Drosophila melanogaster: one gene and its partner. The protein of the gene in region 1 interacts with the protein of each later gene in a pairwise test. Each region holds a gene or a part of one and is shown in the gene's direction. Other genes may lie near its edges.

Region 1 (7,541 bases):
TATCTTACAGCGCCCAGAGCGGTTCAGAATAAGTTCTATACCCCCACCGCAGATGGATGTGGTTCCTTGGGCCTGAGGATCAGCACAGACTATCTGCCGGCCAAGGAGATGGAGACATGTTGCAATGACCACGATATCTGCTACGACACCTGCAATAGCGATAAGGAGCTGTGCGACCTGGACTTCAAGAGGTGCTTGTACAAGTACTGCGACAGCTACGAGAAGTCCATAGCCAGCGATCTGATGATGAAGGGCTGCAAGGCGGCTGCCAAGATGCTATTCACCGGCACATTGACCCTGGGATGCCGCTCCTATCTGGACTCCCAGCAGAGATCCTGCTATTGCGCCCCGCCGAAGAGCTCCTCCTACAATGGCAATAGGCAGGGTAATAGCAATAGTAGGGAGAAGCAGCAGCGCCAGAAATATGGCTGGAAGGATCGCAACGAGATATAGTACAGGATCACTGGCTACGAGGGTGCGGGGACCTGGGGGTATCGGATTAAGCGTTAAATGTTTTATGTGTTGTGTTAGTCTATGAATTGGGTAGCCATGTCCATTGGACTCCCTTTTTGACGAATTTCATTATTGTATACCAAATAGTGGCATGCCAACGGTCCAGACTGTTAAATACATTGATATTTTTACCTATTATAAAGATGCTATATTTTTAAATCAACTGTGCGCTGATTAATCACCGGTGGCTTATGCTGACGTGGTCCTTTGGGCAGGATATGTATATTATTTATTAATCATATGATCGACAAGTGTGTAAACATATTTTAACCAGGACGATGACGTATTTAATTTGTTAAGCTGCCTGGCCAAAGCTAATTTAATAGTACAAATAAATGAATGGAGATCAAACAAGAATTCTATTATATCAAAAATTTTGACTTTAAGTCAAACTTAAGTTTAAAACTAAGGTGGAACAGAAAATATCTCAATATTTTCAAGCTAAACAGTTATTTTAAGAAGCCATTTCTCGCGGATTACAGCTGAAGTGCCATCCTAGCTTTCCAACACTACTCAGTCACACTACACAACACTGCACTGACTGAACCGAAAAAAAAACACACAGATTTTGCAATCCGCAGAAAAGAATTATTAATAGTATTTTTATGCGGATGGCCAGCGTGCTGAGGACCTAAGATGGGCTACGATGTGAATCGCTTTCAGGGGGAGGTGGACGAGGAGCTCACCTGTCCCATCTGCTCCGGAGTGCTTGAGGATCCGCTGCAGGTTTGTTTTGTTTGCAAAGAACGCACACCGCGAATCATACATATGCTTTAAATACAAACAATCATACATATCTACCGATTCAGGCCGTGATGTGCGAGCACGCCTTCTGCCGCGGATGCATTAACGAGTGGCTAACCCGCCAGCCCACTTGTCCGGTGGATCGAAATTCCCTGACTACTGCCAACTTGCGGGCAGTGCCTCGCATATTGCGCAACCTACTGTCCAGGTGAGAAAAACCCAACGCCTTCTACTCTGTGAACCTTGTGGACTCTAACTAATCTTTGACCCTTGCCAACCAGACTGTCAATCACCTGTGACAATGCGCCTTATGGCTGCACGGCTGTTCTCAAGCTAGACGCCTACAATTCCCATTTGGACGAATGCATTCACAATCCGAAGCGACCATTTCCCTGCGAGAAGGGATGCGGCTTTGACATACCCAAGGATGAGCTAAAGGACCACAACTGCGTGCGGGAGCTGCGCACTTTAATTGTCAAGCAGACGGAAAAAATGGGTGAGCTCAAATCGGAGCTCACCGACCAGCAGCTGACTATCAACGAACTGAAGCGCGAGCTGCAGCTATTCAAGGACTTTATGCGTGCCATGCGCGTCTCCAATCCTGCGATGCGGGCCATAGCCGACCAGATGGAGCGCGACGAGGTGATCCGCTGGAGCAGCACACTGCCCCGGGCCAGGGTTACGCGCTGGGGGGGAATGATCTCTACGCCCGACGATGCACTGCAGGTGAAGCCCAAATTCTAAATTTTTTTAAAACGTTAACTCACTTTTCATTTGATAGCTCATGATCAAGCGCGCTTTGTCCGAGTCGGGCTGTCCGCCACACATCCTGGATAGTCTTATGGAGTTCTGCCACGAGCGACGTTGGCCCCGTGGGCTCAGTTCGCTAGAGACACGTCAAACCAATCGTAGGATCTACGACAACTATGTGTGTCGACGCATTCCAGGTAACAATTTTAAACATAAATATTAACAACAAGGCTTTATCTTTAAACTTACTCTTCCGCAGGCAAGCAAGCTGTGCTCGTTTTGAGCTGCGACAACCTCCACATGACTGAGGACGTCATGATCGATCCAGGTTTGGTCATGATCTTCGCCCATGGCATCGAGTAGGCCCTCAGCCGCTGATTAACCACTTATCCTAGGTTAAATGCTAACTATATCGAACAGTGCTCAGTTTTGTTGATTCCTTAACGTAAGAGTAAGCATTAAAAACAATATTGTAAGGAAAAACTCGCAAAACAAACCATTCAAGCGCCTCATGACGACTTTCAAGTTGTACAAAAAATATATATTACTTTCGGTTCATTGTGTTTTATCCATTTAGTTAGTACGCAAATTCGTATACATCATCAAGTCGTTCGCATATACCCAATATTACATGTTTGATTAAGCGATCTCAACAAATGTCCCTTTGTTATCGTTCACTTCATTCTCATTTTGATGGAAGGAAGCTGTGAATGTCCTAATTCGCGTTTAAATTCGTATTGCACAACTTACTTAAATTTCTGAAATATTTGTCAATACTTTTAGATTAAATGTGGAAAGAGTAATAAACAGTTTATTTAACTAATGTATTCATGGAAGAATTTATTACTATAATAAACCATTTGCTTTTATAATTGATTTCTTTCAATTACGAATTTAAATTGTAATAGTATGTTACAACAAAATTCCATTTATTCATTTATTTAAGCACTCCCATGAATTATTTTTCTGAAAGATTGTCTAGCCTTTTAGATTAGAAATAGAAATAAAAGTGATTATTCCAACTAAACCGATAATTCTAGCCTCTTATCAGCTGAAAGGGCAGACAAGCGTCTGCCTTTGGAAATCCTACACAAATGTTCACTGGGATGCCCCCCACTTGCAAGCACCAACTCATTCGGGGAGATCTGTCCGCCTCCACTCTGTGGACCCGTAAAAGTTCTGGACAACATCTGTTTCCCGAAATGGAAATCGAAAAGCAACAAAAACCAAGCAGCAAGCAACCAAGCAACAAAATAAACAAAAGAAAACCAAACTAGTTCCTCCACGAGCTTTGGCCGCCAACCGGTTTCGGCTTTTGTACACCCGTTTTGTTTTTTTCCTACATAATACAACATTATACAAAGTTTGCATCGGTTACATGTGCCAAAAATCGTTGGATTATACAAGCCAGTTTTGGTTTTCAATTTTTTTCTTCGTATTTGCCGAACATCTTGAATATTGATAGAAGCAATTAGCGCCATCCAGACCAAAGGGGCAGCCCCCTACGGCGATTGAAAGTGAGAGTTGATCGGCCGATTGGCGGCGGAGCGGACAGGCTGAAATATATACATCCAACAGTTGATCGCGAAGCGGCGCAGCCAACGGACGTGTCCAGCTGCGATCTCCAGAAGGCAACCAATCTAATCGAAGAACACGAAATGAATGTATCAATTCCGGTGCTATTTGTGGCCCTCATCTGTCTGGCAGCTGCGTCGGCGTTTCCTCAACTGAGGCAGCGCAACGAGAAGCAGGTTCAAACCGGCGATGATGATTTGCGTAAGTAAAATTCTTAACGCTCGAAAATCTTACAATTCTTAGATTGTAAAACTTCCTAAATACATTTGGAAAATACTTTTCAAATCTGAAATTCTGTAAATATATATAAATACATATCTATCTATAAATTTTTGTGTATACATATGTACACATTCTGTAGTGCGAACAAAGCGTAAAATATTTAGTAAAATAATAGATTGCTCCGAATTTTTTAATAATAAGCTTGCCGATTATTCAGCTTCTATTAATTAAATTAAAATAAATATAAAATATTTTATAAAGTATATACCATTGCATTTTACAGCTTCCAAGGGCGCCACTATCGAGGAAGTAGTGGTGGAATCAGCCTTGTACATCAAACCGAAGTCTAATCCGCAGGTGCGTCGCGTCCGTTCGGTCCTGGATCAAATATCCGGAATCCAGGCCGCTCACAAGAGGGTGAAGCGTCAGTTTGGGCGACAATTTGGTGGTCAGTATGCTGGAAATCCCGGCTTCGGTGGCGGATTCGGTGGAGAGCCTGGTTTTGGAGGTGGATTCGGCGGTAATCAAGGATTTGGAGGCAACCAGGGATTCGGAGGTAATCAGGGTTTCGGCGGTAATCAGGAATTCGGCGGTAACCCAGGATTCGGAGGAAATCCCGGATTCGGCGGTAATCAAGGTGGAAAAGTTCAGGCAGGTACATCGGCCGGCGCTGGGGGAACCAAAGCGGGTGTTGATGTTGGTGCCGGACCAGATGGCGGCAATGCCAATGCCAACGTCGAGTTAAATCCGCTGGGACCACTCGGACCCAGTGGTTACAACCAGGAGCAGGCCGCATCCAACGGAGCTGCCCACAGCAACTACAACAATGGACTCAACTCAGGATCCTCGGCCGCCAGTGGGCAGGCTCAGGGCTTCCAGTCGCAGAGTGCCAATGGATCATTCGGTGCCTCCTCCGCAAGCACGGCCACTCAGTCCCAGAACACCAGCCCCTTTGGATCCAATAATGCGGCAGGTGCTTCGCTGAGTCAGGTTTACCATCTTCCCAATGGACAGACAATAAACTTTAGCTCCACGAACAGCTTCGCTAATGGAGGAGCCAATCGTGGCAGTAGCCATGGATCGGCAGTTTCTGTCAGCCGCTAAAAGCCAAGTTCACCATACAGGGAAAATACCTCCAAGTTAATCTATTTGTCAGCAATCCTATGTGCAAATATCTAAAAAATCCAAATAAATATTTATGATTGAATTGAATTTGAATGAATAATTTGAATGATTTTTTTAAAATCTAAACGGTTGCATTTTGATGATCCAGATTACAAATTACAACAAACTTGAATTGTTCCATACGAAATTTAAAAGCTTAAGACAATATAAGAATTGGCACTGTTGACTACAAAATATTTAGATTCTTGGTATCAACCAGCGAAAGAAAGTTGAAAGGTTTTTTTTATTTTGTTTTTTTTTTTTTTTGTACTACTTTATATAATTATCCTCAGTGTATCCTTGTACAATTTGGTTTCTACTAAAGTAGTACACGAATTTATTATTGCTACAATTAATGCGCGTAAATTGTAAAATGATTGATTTTCATTTGTGCAAACATGCCCAACTGATGATCCTAAAGAAAACTAATCTGACTCGCTTTCGCTTTCCGACTGGAAGTCACCCACTTCGATGGAAAACTTGTACTCCTGATCACAACCCAAATAGGAATCGCTCATGTAGTACAGAGTGTAGTCGTGTTTGCCCGGACTAGGTGCCACAAAGTCCAGCTTGACCTTTGCCTTTTGCTGCAGCGTGAGCCGTTTGATGGAGAGCAGGGAGTTGGTCTTGGGATCACCTATGACGACCCACCATCCTTCTTCGCGCTTCTGCGGGAAGAATGGAGCAATGACTGGGCCAGTGACCTCATCCTCACGTTCCAGTTGAACCACTACATTAACGGTTGATCCTGAGTTGATGCGATCCTTGTCCACCACCTCATAGTTCAGCTCAATGTTGGGGTAACGGTTGCAGAATCGAGCAACATCGGCCATTTGTAAATCGGAGAGCTGCAGCAGGCGAGTGCGATCCTCGTCCTCCAATTCCATGATATCGAAAACGGTTTCGATTTTCTGAAATATACGACGAAACATGAGATAATCCTAGAGATTCACTTGTTGTTACTCTCACCTTCTCTGTGCACCGCTTGACAATCTCGGGACTAAAGTGCGGCAACTGTTTCAAGTACGAGTCCTTGCTCCACATGGCCTGCGTGACCATCTGAGCCAGCTCCATGGCAGCCACAGCCGGCGACAGCCAGCCATTTGAACTCAGCACATCTACGCAGGCCTGAATGAGGCGGATGGCCTTGCTCAGTATCTGCTCCGTATCGCCTTGCAGTTCAGGTCCCAGTTGCAATCGCGAAAGATGAGCCTGAAGCAGCAAATTGGTCTTGATGTGCGGATCATTGAATCTAAAAATAACATTGGTAAAATTCTTTTTAAGATCTAAATGTATGGGTTGCTTACTTTGGAGCCGTTTCATTGGGTCCTGTGAGTTTGTTGGGCAGTCGCTGAGACAGCGTGCGCAGAACCTGCTCCTCATGATGCCTGACCACAACATCCTCGTACTCAGCTGCCGATGAAATAATTTCCAGCAGGCCCCGCACTTTTGTTTTGCTGTTGAGGGACAAACTGAAGAGCTCTGGGAAAAAATGATAGGAAAATGAAGATGACAATTGCCTAAACTTAAATCTAATGCTTCATACCGATAGTTGTGTAGTTGATGTAATAGTAGGCAGCAATCATGCCCAGATTGAGTGGCAGCGTGTCCATATCATCCTCCACGCTAATACACTTGGACTGTTCTAGATCGCTCAGCGTATTCTCCACCAACTCCGAAAGATGGTCGGAGAGATGGCGATGCGTGACACCCTGCAGATTGTAGTAGTTGGGATTTTGGGTCAATCGTCTGTAGAGGAACGTCCAGGTGAGATAATCAACGGCATCCTGTTTGTTCTCAATTGTCTTGGTGACCACCTCGGCGTTAAAGTGATCATGCATTCTATGATCCAAATGACTTTCGATGGGCAGCGGCTCGTTGATGAATTTCTTAAAGAAGTCCTTCTTGCTGCTCTGGCACATCAGCACGCATTTGGCATCCGCATCCTCGTTCGGCCGATTGGCTCGACCAATCATTTGCAGCACGTCTGTAATGGGATAGTCCTCATACGAATGATTCTTGCCATTGTAAAATTGTGTGTCCATGATGATCACCAAGTGAGCGGAGATGCTCATGCCCCAGCAAAGGTCTCTGGAGATAACAGCTACTTGCACGGCGCCAGAGTCAAACAGCTGCTCCACCAGGCGATGATCTGAGGCGGATAGGCCCTCATGGAGATAGGCCACTCCTTGCGCTAGGGTCTCCTTCAAAGTTTTATCCGTCATTCGTTCGAGGAACGGCTTGATGTCCTCCTCCTCAGCATGGAAAAAACGGTTGGGTTGCAAATCCGATGCTGCGTAGGTCAAAACATCAATTGCAGTGAGCCTGGCCTGCTTTCTGGACGAGACAAACACAATCACCGGCTTGTGGGCGCTGTACTTGAGGATGGCATTGTAAACAGGCTTGGACATCGTAGCAATTCTGGTGGCGTTGTGAGTGACATTATAGCCCTGGATGTGCAGCTCCAACGGAATGGGACGCACGCTGGGGTGGAAATTGAAAGTGGCATTGGGATTACAGCCCAGCCACTGGGCGACATCCCTGGCATCCGTTAGCGATGCAGACAACGCCAC
Region 2 (6,977 bases), on another chromosome or scaffold:
AGATGTTTGTGTCGTCGGTAAGGGGTCGTGGTTTTGCTCGGCCACCACCTTCCAGGGGCGATTTGTTCCGCTCCCGGCCGCCCAACACCTCGCGACCGCCATCGCTGCACGTGGACGACTTCCTGGCCTTGGAAACTTGTGGCGCCCAGCCCACAGGACCCACCGGCTACAACAAGATACCCTCAATGCTGAGAGGCTCCCGGGTGGGTCGCAACCGAGGATCTCGAATCTCGGCAGCAGCTGCCTTTAGGTAAAGTGTCACGATTACCACTTAGCAGGATAACGCTAATGGGCTCTTTTTACTCTTTTAACAGGCAAAAGAAGATGATGCGCATTGGTTCGCCCTCCAGCTGGGCAGAGTCCCCCGGATCGTATCGGTCTGCCTCGGACTCCCACTTCAGTAGCAGCGACTCGCACTATTCGTCGCCCCACTACAGTGGACGGCCGCGTGGACGAGGCCTGCGTTCCAGGCCATCCTACCTGAGATAGGAGGACATTGCAGCCCAACCCGCTTCTCACTGACACTTCCCGTAAACTCGGCAAACGAACCAGAACTAGATCCTAAGATGCCCGCTGGGCAGCTGAATTCCAATACTTAATAGTGTGTGTTGCTTTCGTATTAGTTCGCTTTACTTCCCACTTTGTATGTAAGCCAAAAGTTAGTTTTCCGTAATTACACTGTGCAAACGGACGTCGTGCGACTCCATGGGCAACTCCTCGTTGCTGACTATCTGCTCGTTGAGCGACAGTGCCATCAGCGAGATCTTCTTGTGCGGATACTTCTCCGCGTGCTGCTTGAGGAACTTGTCGTAGTAGCCCATGCCATGGCCCATCCGAGCTCCGCAGCGGGTGAAGGCCACACCGGGCACAATGAAGAGATCGATGCCGTGCCCTGTGGTGATCGAGTGTGTGTGTGTGGGTTTAGAAGGAGCTCTGATGTATGCCTAGCCACTCACCGTTGGTCATGGCATCCTCGCGTGCCTCCTTGAAGTCCGGCTGCTTTATGTTCCACTTGGTCAGAGGCAGGCTCTCGTACTCCTCCATGCCGCGCAGCCGCACCATCTTCATCCTGCTGCCCTCGTAGGTGGGCACAAAGACCATCTTCTCCAGGCGGAACATCTCCGACAGCAGCGCCGTGGTGTCCAGCTCCGAGGCTGTGCTCAGGTAAATGCTCACCCGCTGCGCCTGCCGGAAGATCTCGCTTTGCAGCACCTGTGCGATCGAGCCGATTAGGGGGATTGGGAATTAACTTGATAACCTTGGGGCCCAGCCAAACCAATGTTACCTTAGCCGTGACGGCCTGCGACTGCCGGGCGATGGCCTCCGCGTCGATGCCCTTCAGTGCATCCTTCATGCGCTTTCGCAGCGCCACCTTCAGGGTGTTCTGGATCGTGGCCGCCATTCCTGCCGCTGGATCATCTACTGCACACTCGAGCGAACCGGTGCGAACTGTTTCCATCTGCCTGCGCGGTCCATGCGTCTTTAGGTCGCCACTCCGCCGCCCGTTATCAGCTGCGCTTACACTGACGCTTATCTGTCGGCTGTTCCGCTTTGCAGCGCTGTTCGTAAACAAATGGAAGTGGAGCGGTCTGGGGAAAGTTTAGGCTTGCAGTTTGGGTGAGCCGCGGGGCGATCAGCTGATCAGGGATGGGAGTTATCCAATACACAACCAGTTGTAAATTAAACAAAATATATTTGGAGTACCATTCCCATTAAATACAATTCAGACAATCCAGCCTAACCATAGTTAAGCTAGTGGAGTTCAAAGCTCCTGGTTGGGCTCACTTCTTGGGAGCCTCTGGTGCCTTAGGCTCCGTCTTGGTCTTCAGGTTCTTCAGTTGCTCCTTTTGCTGCAGGGAAACATGGAATCTTTACCTCGTGTACAGTCTGGTGTAGTAGAAAGAGCTCACCTGCTTGTAGAAGAACTCCTCCTCGCGAGCAGCCTCCATTTTGCCAAATGAACCGCCCGCCTCCCGGATGGATCCGCCGCCGCCGCCGCCGTTGCCGGCTCCACTGCCCAGTTCTCCGATCTGCGACATCTTCAAGTGCCTGCAAAGCGATTCGAAAACGGTTCTAGAATCTTACGCAACTGCTCTCCAAATCGCGAAACCTACTGAATCTGCTTGGGATACCAGCGCTGACTGAATCGTCGCAGTGTAAACATGTTTGCCTCTATCGGTTTATCGGTTTATATAGTATAGTTAAGCTATATATAAGGGATGAGTAGCCGCTGAAATTTCGATTTCGACGACTTGCGAAAACAAACTGGTGAACATTGGACAATAGCGCTGCTAAAAATACTGAGTGGGCACGGAAATAGAAACACATTCACTAAATAGGGGCTAAAGAACTTTAGTTTTAATCAACTGGGATGACCCAATGGATTTTTAATTACTTCCTTAATTCCATAAAAACTTTCTACAAAGATTGCAACTAACAATTTTATTGAGCCGTGTCATGTGGATAAGTTGGGTGATTATGATGATGATGCGCCTGAAGAAATCGGTGTATGGCATTTAAACATAAACAACTAACTATTTGGTGTTCTGGGGATCTGATTCGAGTTCCAGTTCTGTGGCAGTATGGCGAGATTTGAGCTCTTCTTGGGCACGATCGTGCAATAATTTGATGTCGTCTGCAGTCTGAAAGCAAAGATATTGCAATGGAAATTAGAAGAAAAATGAGCTGGAGACTTATAGCAACCTTGTTCAGGAAAAAGGCCTCCTCGAGTACGTTCTTGTGCTTGTTCATGGAAGAGGTGCTGCCCAGCGAGGCGTGGTCCAGAGTCTTCTGGAACTCGTCCCAGTTGGGCAGGTAGTCGCCGGGCTCCTTCTTGTCCCGCATCTTGCCCACGAGGGTTTGGGTCAACGAAATGAAGTACTCCTCCTCCTTGAGACCGCCCTGCAGCTTGCCAAGTCCGCCGCCCCAAAGGAAAACACCCGGGGGCTTCTTCTCCTCGGAGTAGAGCTTCCTGGGCGCCAGGCCGAGTCTTCAGGGATTTCGGATGGGGTGTTTAAGGGAAGGAGTTATGTGCAAGCGCTACTCACTTTGGATTGAGACCCATGCTCAGTCTACGCTGCACTATTCCTGCACAAAACATCCTTGCACGTGCGAGTATGGAACACATACGAAAAGTTACGGATTTTTCGAAAAGGCTGGACAATTTGCAGGATATCAAAAGCAGAATCTAGACTGTTTGCTTCAGATGAAATTTGAAACGGTTGCTTTCTAAGATATTCGGTTTTGATATCCGACATTTTATAAAGAATTGAACTCGTTTTACTTATGAATGTATTTTTACTTCATTTGCAGATATTTTTAAGTCATGGTCCATGGATGCTGCTGCTCACATTAGTTAGTTTGCATATGGATTTCAATCCTAAATTCCTCATGTTTCCCACAAAAAATATTTGAAAAAGCGTTGGAACGAGAATATCTGGCAGCTCTGCGCATTAGTGTGCCCGTTTCTATACAAGCTGATTAAATGTTTGGTATTTCGAGCCACACACCACACGCCACTCTAATCGGATTGTTTTGTTTTGTCGGCCGATTTGAGCCGTATATATCCTTCGATTCCGCCTGAAGTACGCAAGATGGCCGTCCTGTACCTGCTGGGATGGGTTTCGCTGGCCATACAGATCGTGTTCCTCACCCTGTCGATTGGTGAGCTGTCGCCGTGCAGCCGCACTTGTCCAATTGCAACGTCTGCAATTTGTATTTCCAGTGGCTGGTCTCTATTATCTGGCGGAGCTGGCCGAGGAGTACACGACGGCGGCTAGGAAGTGCATCCTATTTCTGATCAGCTTCACGATCTTCGTCTACATCCTGCTGCTGCTGTTCGAGGACCTGCCGTGGAGCCTTATCATCTGCGGACTGGTGGCGCAGGGCTTCCACCTGGGCATCATGAGTGGATTCCCCTTCGTGCGCCTGCTCTCGCTGCCGCTGCTGGGCTCCCTGGCCATGCTGGTGGTCAATCACTTCCTGGCCTTCCAGCATTTCGTCACTGTCTATGTGCCTTTCACGCAGGTGAGCATATGTATTGCATAAATCATTAGTCATGGAAAGCGCATTCGCTACGTACAAACGTATGTACGTTTTTATACAGCCATTATATGCAATATGCATTGCATTGTGTATCCACATCATCAGTTTGTTTACATACAACTTGAATTAGGCCGCAGCAAACGCCTAAAGGAAATTTACACTTTCAGGTGCTGGCTTACTTTACCATCTGCATGTGGATCGTGCCCTTCGCCCTGTTCGTCTCGCTGAGTGCGAATGACAGTGTCCTGCCCACCACCGTCAGCGACCAGAGCCGGCGCAGTCCGGACGTGGTCAGCAACTACTTCTCGCGTAACAAGAAGCAGGGCCTGCTGTCGCTGTTCCAGTATCTGAAAGAGGCCCTGCTCCCTGGGCGGACCAAGAAGGCCTTCTAGATCTAGCTTGTTTAATGTTTATTTATTTTTGTAGCCGCAATCGAGACAAAAGTATACAAAGCGCATGTGAACTGACATTCGACATCCACTTTATTGTAGTGGAACTGTAACCAATTGAGATTTAGTGGGTCTGATTTCAGTGTAATGGATACCCTTTTGTGGTGATTTGGACGTATTTCGATGTTATACTTGAATGAAGAAGCTGAATAAGATTCGTTTGCTGAAACTTTCAAGTTAGGACACATCGTTTTCTCGGCTAAGAACTCAATATGTATTTAAATCCATTACAAATGGCAAACCTAAAATTTAAGGAACAACTTGGTGAAACATAAATGCAAAAAGCGCTCCCCCAACTCCGCCCAAGAACTACTTGTTCTGGACCTTGACCGAGCCATTGGCCATGCCGTAGTAGCATTTGTGGGCCATGTTCACGAACAGGCCCGTCTCCAGGACGCCCGGGATGAGGGTGATGGCGCGGTTGACCTCGTCCCAGTCGTACTCCCTGTTGGCGATGAACTTCCAGTCCAGGAGGAAGTTGCCATTGTCCGTGACAATGGGTCCCGCCTTCACCTTGGCCATACGCAACGAGGCCTCGCCGCCGAAAAGCGCCTCGATGTGCAGCTTGATGGGCACGTACGCCATGGGCGCCACCTCGATGGGCACGCCGCGGCACCACTGCTCGCCCAGGCGGATGGAGTTCTTTGTGTAGTCGGCCACCACGATGAAGTGCTTGGCGCAGGAGGCCACCACCTTCTCCTGCAGCAAGCAGCCGCCGCCGCCCTTGATCAGCACCATATGGCGATCGACCTCGTCGGCCCCGTCGATGGCCACGTCTATGTTGGGATTCCTGTCCAGATCGCCCAGGTTAAGGTTGTAGTCGAGTATCAGATGGCGCGCCTGGTAGGACGAGGGCACGCAGATGAGGTCCGTCAGCTCGCCCTCCTTCCACACGCGCTCCGCGATCCGCTGCACGGCGTACACCACCGTCGATCCGCTGCCAATCCCCAGAATCTTCGTATCCTCAGTCACCCACTGGTCCACCGCCGTGCGGGCCGCCGTCTTCTTGGCCGCGTCCAGCGCAATGTCATCCATCATGCGTATCTGGGTGTGGAGTGTTGCCGCTGCGCCGCTCAAAAGATCTTCGCCGAGTTGCTGGGTGAAGGTGAACCGTGCTCTTTGGACGCCTCGTCGCAAAAACCCAGATAACATGTGGTTAACAGGCTTGCTTTCAATCGCAACTTCAATGTCACAGAGATCAAGCCGCCGGTGCGGGATTTTTGGTGAAGCGCTAGGGATTTTTCGCTGTTGCGCCGGCCGGGCTAACAGAGCTGTTAGTTGCGCGCCAACTGTTAGCTGTTAAAATTATTCTGTTTACGTTATCTAAACTCAAGCACATATGGTTTCTAGATCGAAATCCACACTGGAAATAAAAGGGATTTTATTTTGTTATGGTTTATATATTAATATAGGGATTACCTTTGGTAGCAGCGGTCTTAGCTGTTGTTTTTGGTCCCCACAAAGATTATAAACTTTCGGACTCGATGGTGTTGCATTTGTAGAGCCTTCCCTTGCAAGCGGCCTGCTGGCCACAGAACTCCTCCTCCGCCTTGTAACAACCGCTCGAGCGGGTGTCATGGCAGCCTCCGCAGCAGTTCATGCAGCTCTGGTCGGGACTCAGGTTGATTTCGTTCTCCACAAAGACCTGCAGCAGACAAGCGACATGGCCATAGGTCATAGGCCCTCCACATGCTTGTTCATGGCGGGATCGCAGCGCCAGTACAGCTGTCCGAGATGACCAGCTGGAGAACCTGCTGTGCATTCTGCATGCGCTTCTGGATTGCGTCGTACTAAGCGCATTTCCTCGGTGAAGTTCCCGCGCCCTGGTCTTAATGGTCAGAATGTTTGCAGCGTCGGTTGAAATAGTGGATTTGACTGAATCAGCACTTCTTAAGGAGGATCGCCTTACCCGACAAAATGCCTCGCCAGCTGCAAATGCTTATAATTACTGCCTTTTGAATAAACTTTGGATTTGTCGCCTATGTCACATCAAAAAAATTCCTCAACCTGACAAGTTCGATAGAAGCTATGTACAGTTGTGTTATTTGATGTGCAAAACCCTGACAGAAAATCCTGCACTCAGTATTAATAAGCTTCTTTTGGGAAATCTGGTATTATCTGCCATTTGAATTGATTTTATGAACGATTTTCGTAAATAATTAAATAAGTAATACCACTAACCGAATGCCATGAAAATGTGTCTTTCTAACCAAATCTTTGACCATCTAAACAACAAACGCACAGAAAACATACATACATACACATACATACGTTTCAAAAGTGACTTTTGCTCGGTATGTAGATATGTAGGTACTTATGTACATATGTACGTACATACATACATGTATGTATGTACATACAAACACGTGTACCGAGAATATTTGAAGAAATTTAATACTTTTAGTGCACAAAGCGAAAACTGTTGAATGCCGAGCGATGGAGCTGAAAAGCAGAACACAATCACAAAGGTGATTGCAATTTTCC

The links. Proteins that work in one complex are often made in the same cells at the same time.
Region 2: the proteins of CG17032 (region 1) and CG3500 interact in a two-hybrid assay, tested with the Drosophila melanogaster proteins (one large-scale study listed by BioGRID).

The regions. Positions count from the first base shown.
Region 1 is NT_037436.4:15,955,601-15,963,141, forward strand, and holds CG17032 (uncharacterized protein), read left to right. Parts: upstream 1-3,242; 5' UTR 3,243-3,665; coding exon 3,666-3,783; intron 3,784-4,087; coding exon 4,088-4,908; 3' UTR 4,909-5,009; downstream 5,010-7,541. Other genes in the region: GXIVsPLA2, read left to right, coding at 11-453; elgi (early girl), read left to right, coding at 1,150-1,239, 1,323-1,465, 1,539-1,983, 2,039-2,204, 2,267-2,370; Brr2 U5 snRNP complex subunit, read right to left, coding at 5,394-5,879, 5,938-6,220, 6,276-6,450, 6,515-7,541.
Region 2 is NT_033778.4:23,353,905-23,360,881, reverse strand, and holds CG3500 (uncharacterized protein), read left to right. Parts: upstream 1-3,316; 5' UTR 3,317-3,593; coding exon 3,594-3,663; intron 3,664-3,724; coding exon 3,725-4,026; intron 4,027-4,211; coding exon 4,212-4,436; 3' UTR 4,437-4,510; downstream 4,511-6,977. Other genes in the region: vir (virilizer), read left to right, coding at 1-250, 315-489; Mthfs (methenyltetrahydrofolate synthetase), read right to left, coding at 660-892, 957-1,212, 1,286-1,402; CG34423 (uncharacterized protein), read right to left, coding at 1,782-1,850, 1,911-2,049, 2,115-2,164; CG9875 (uncharacterized protein), read right to left, coding at 2,535-2,642, 2,704-2,989, 3,048-3,127; Rpi (Ribose-5-phosphate isomerase), read right to left, coding at 4,803-5,528.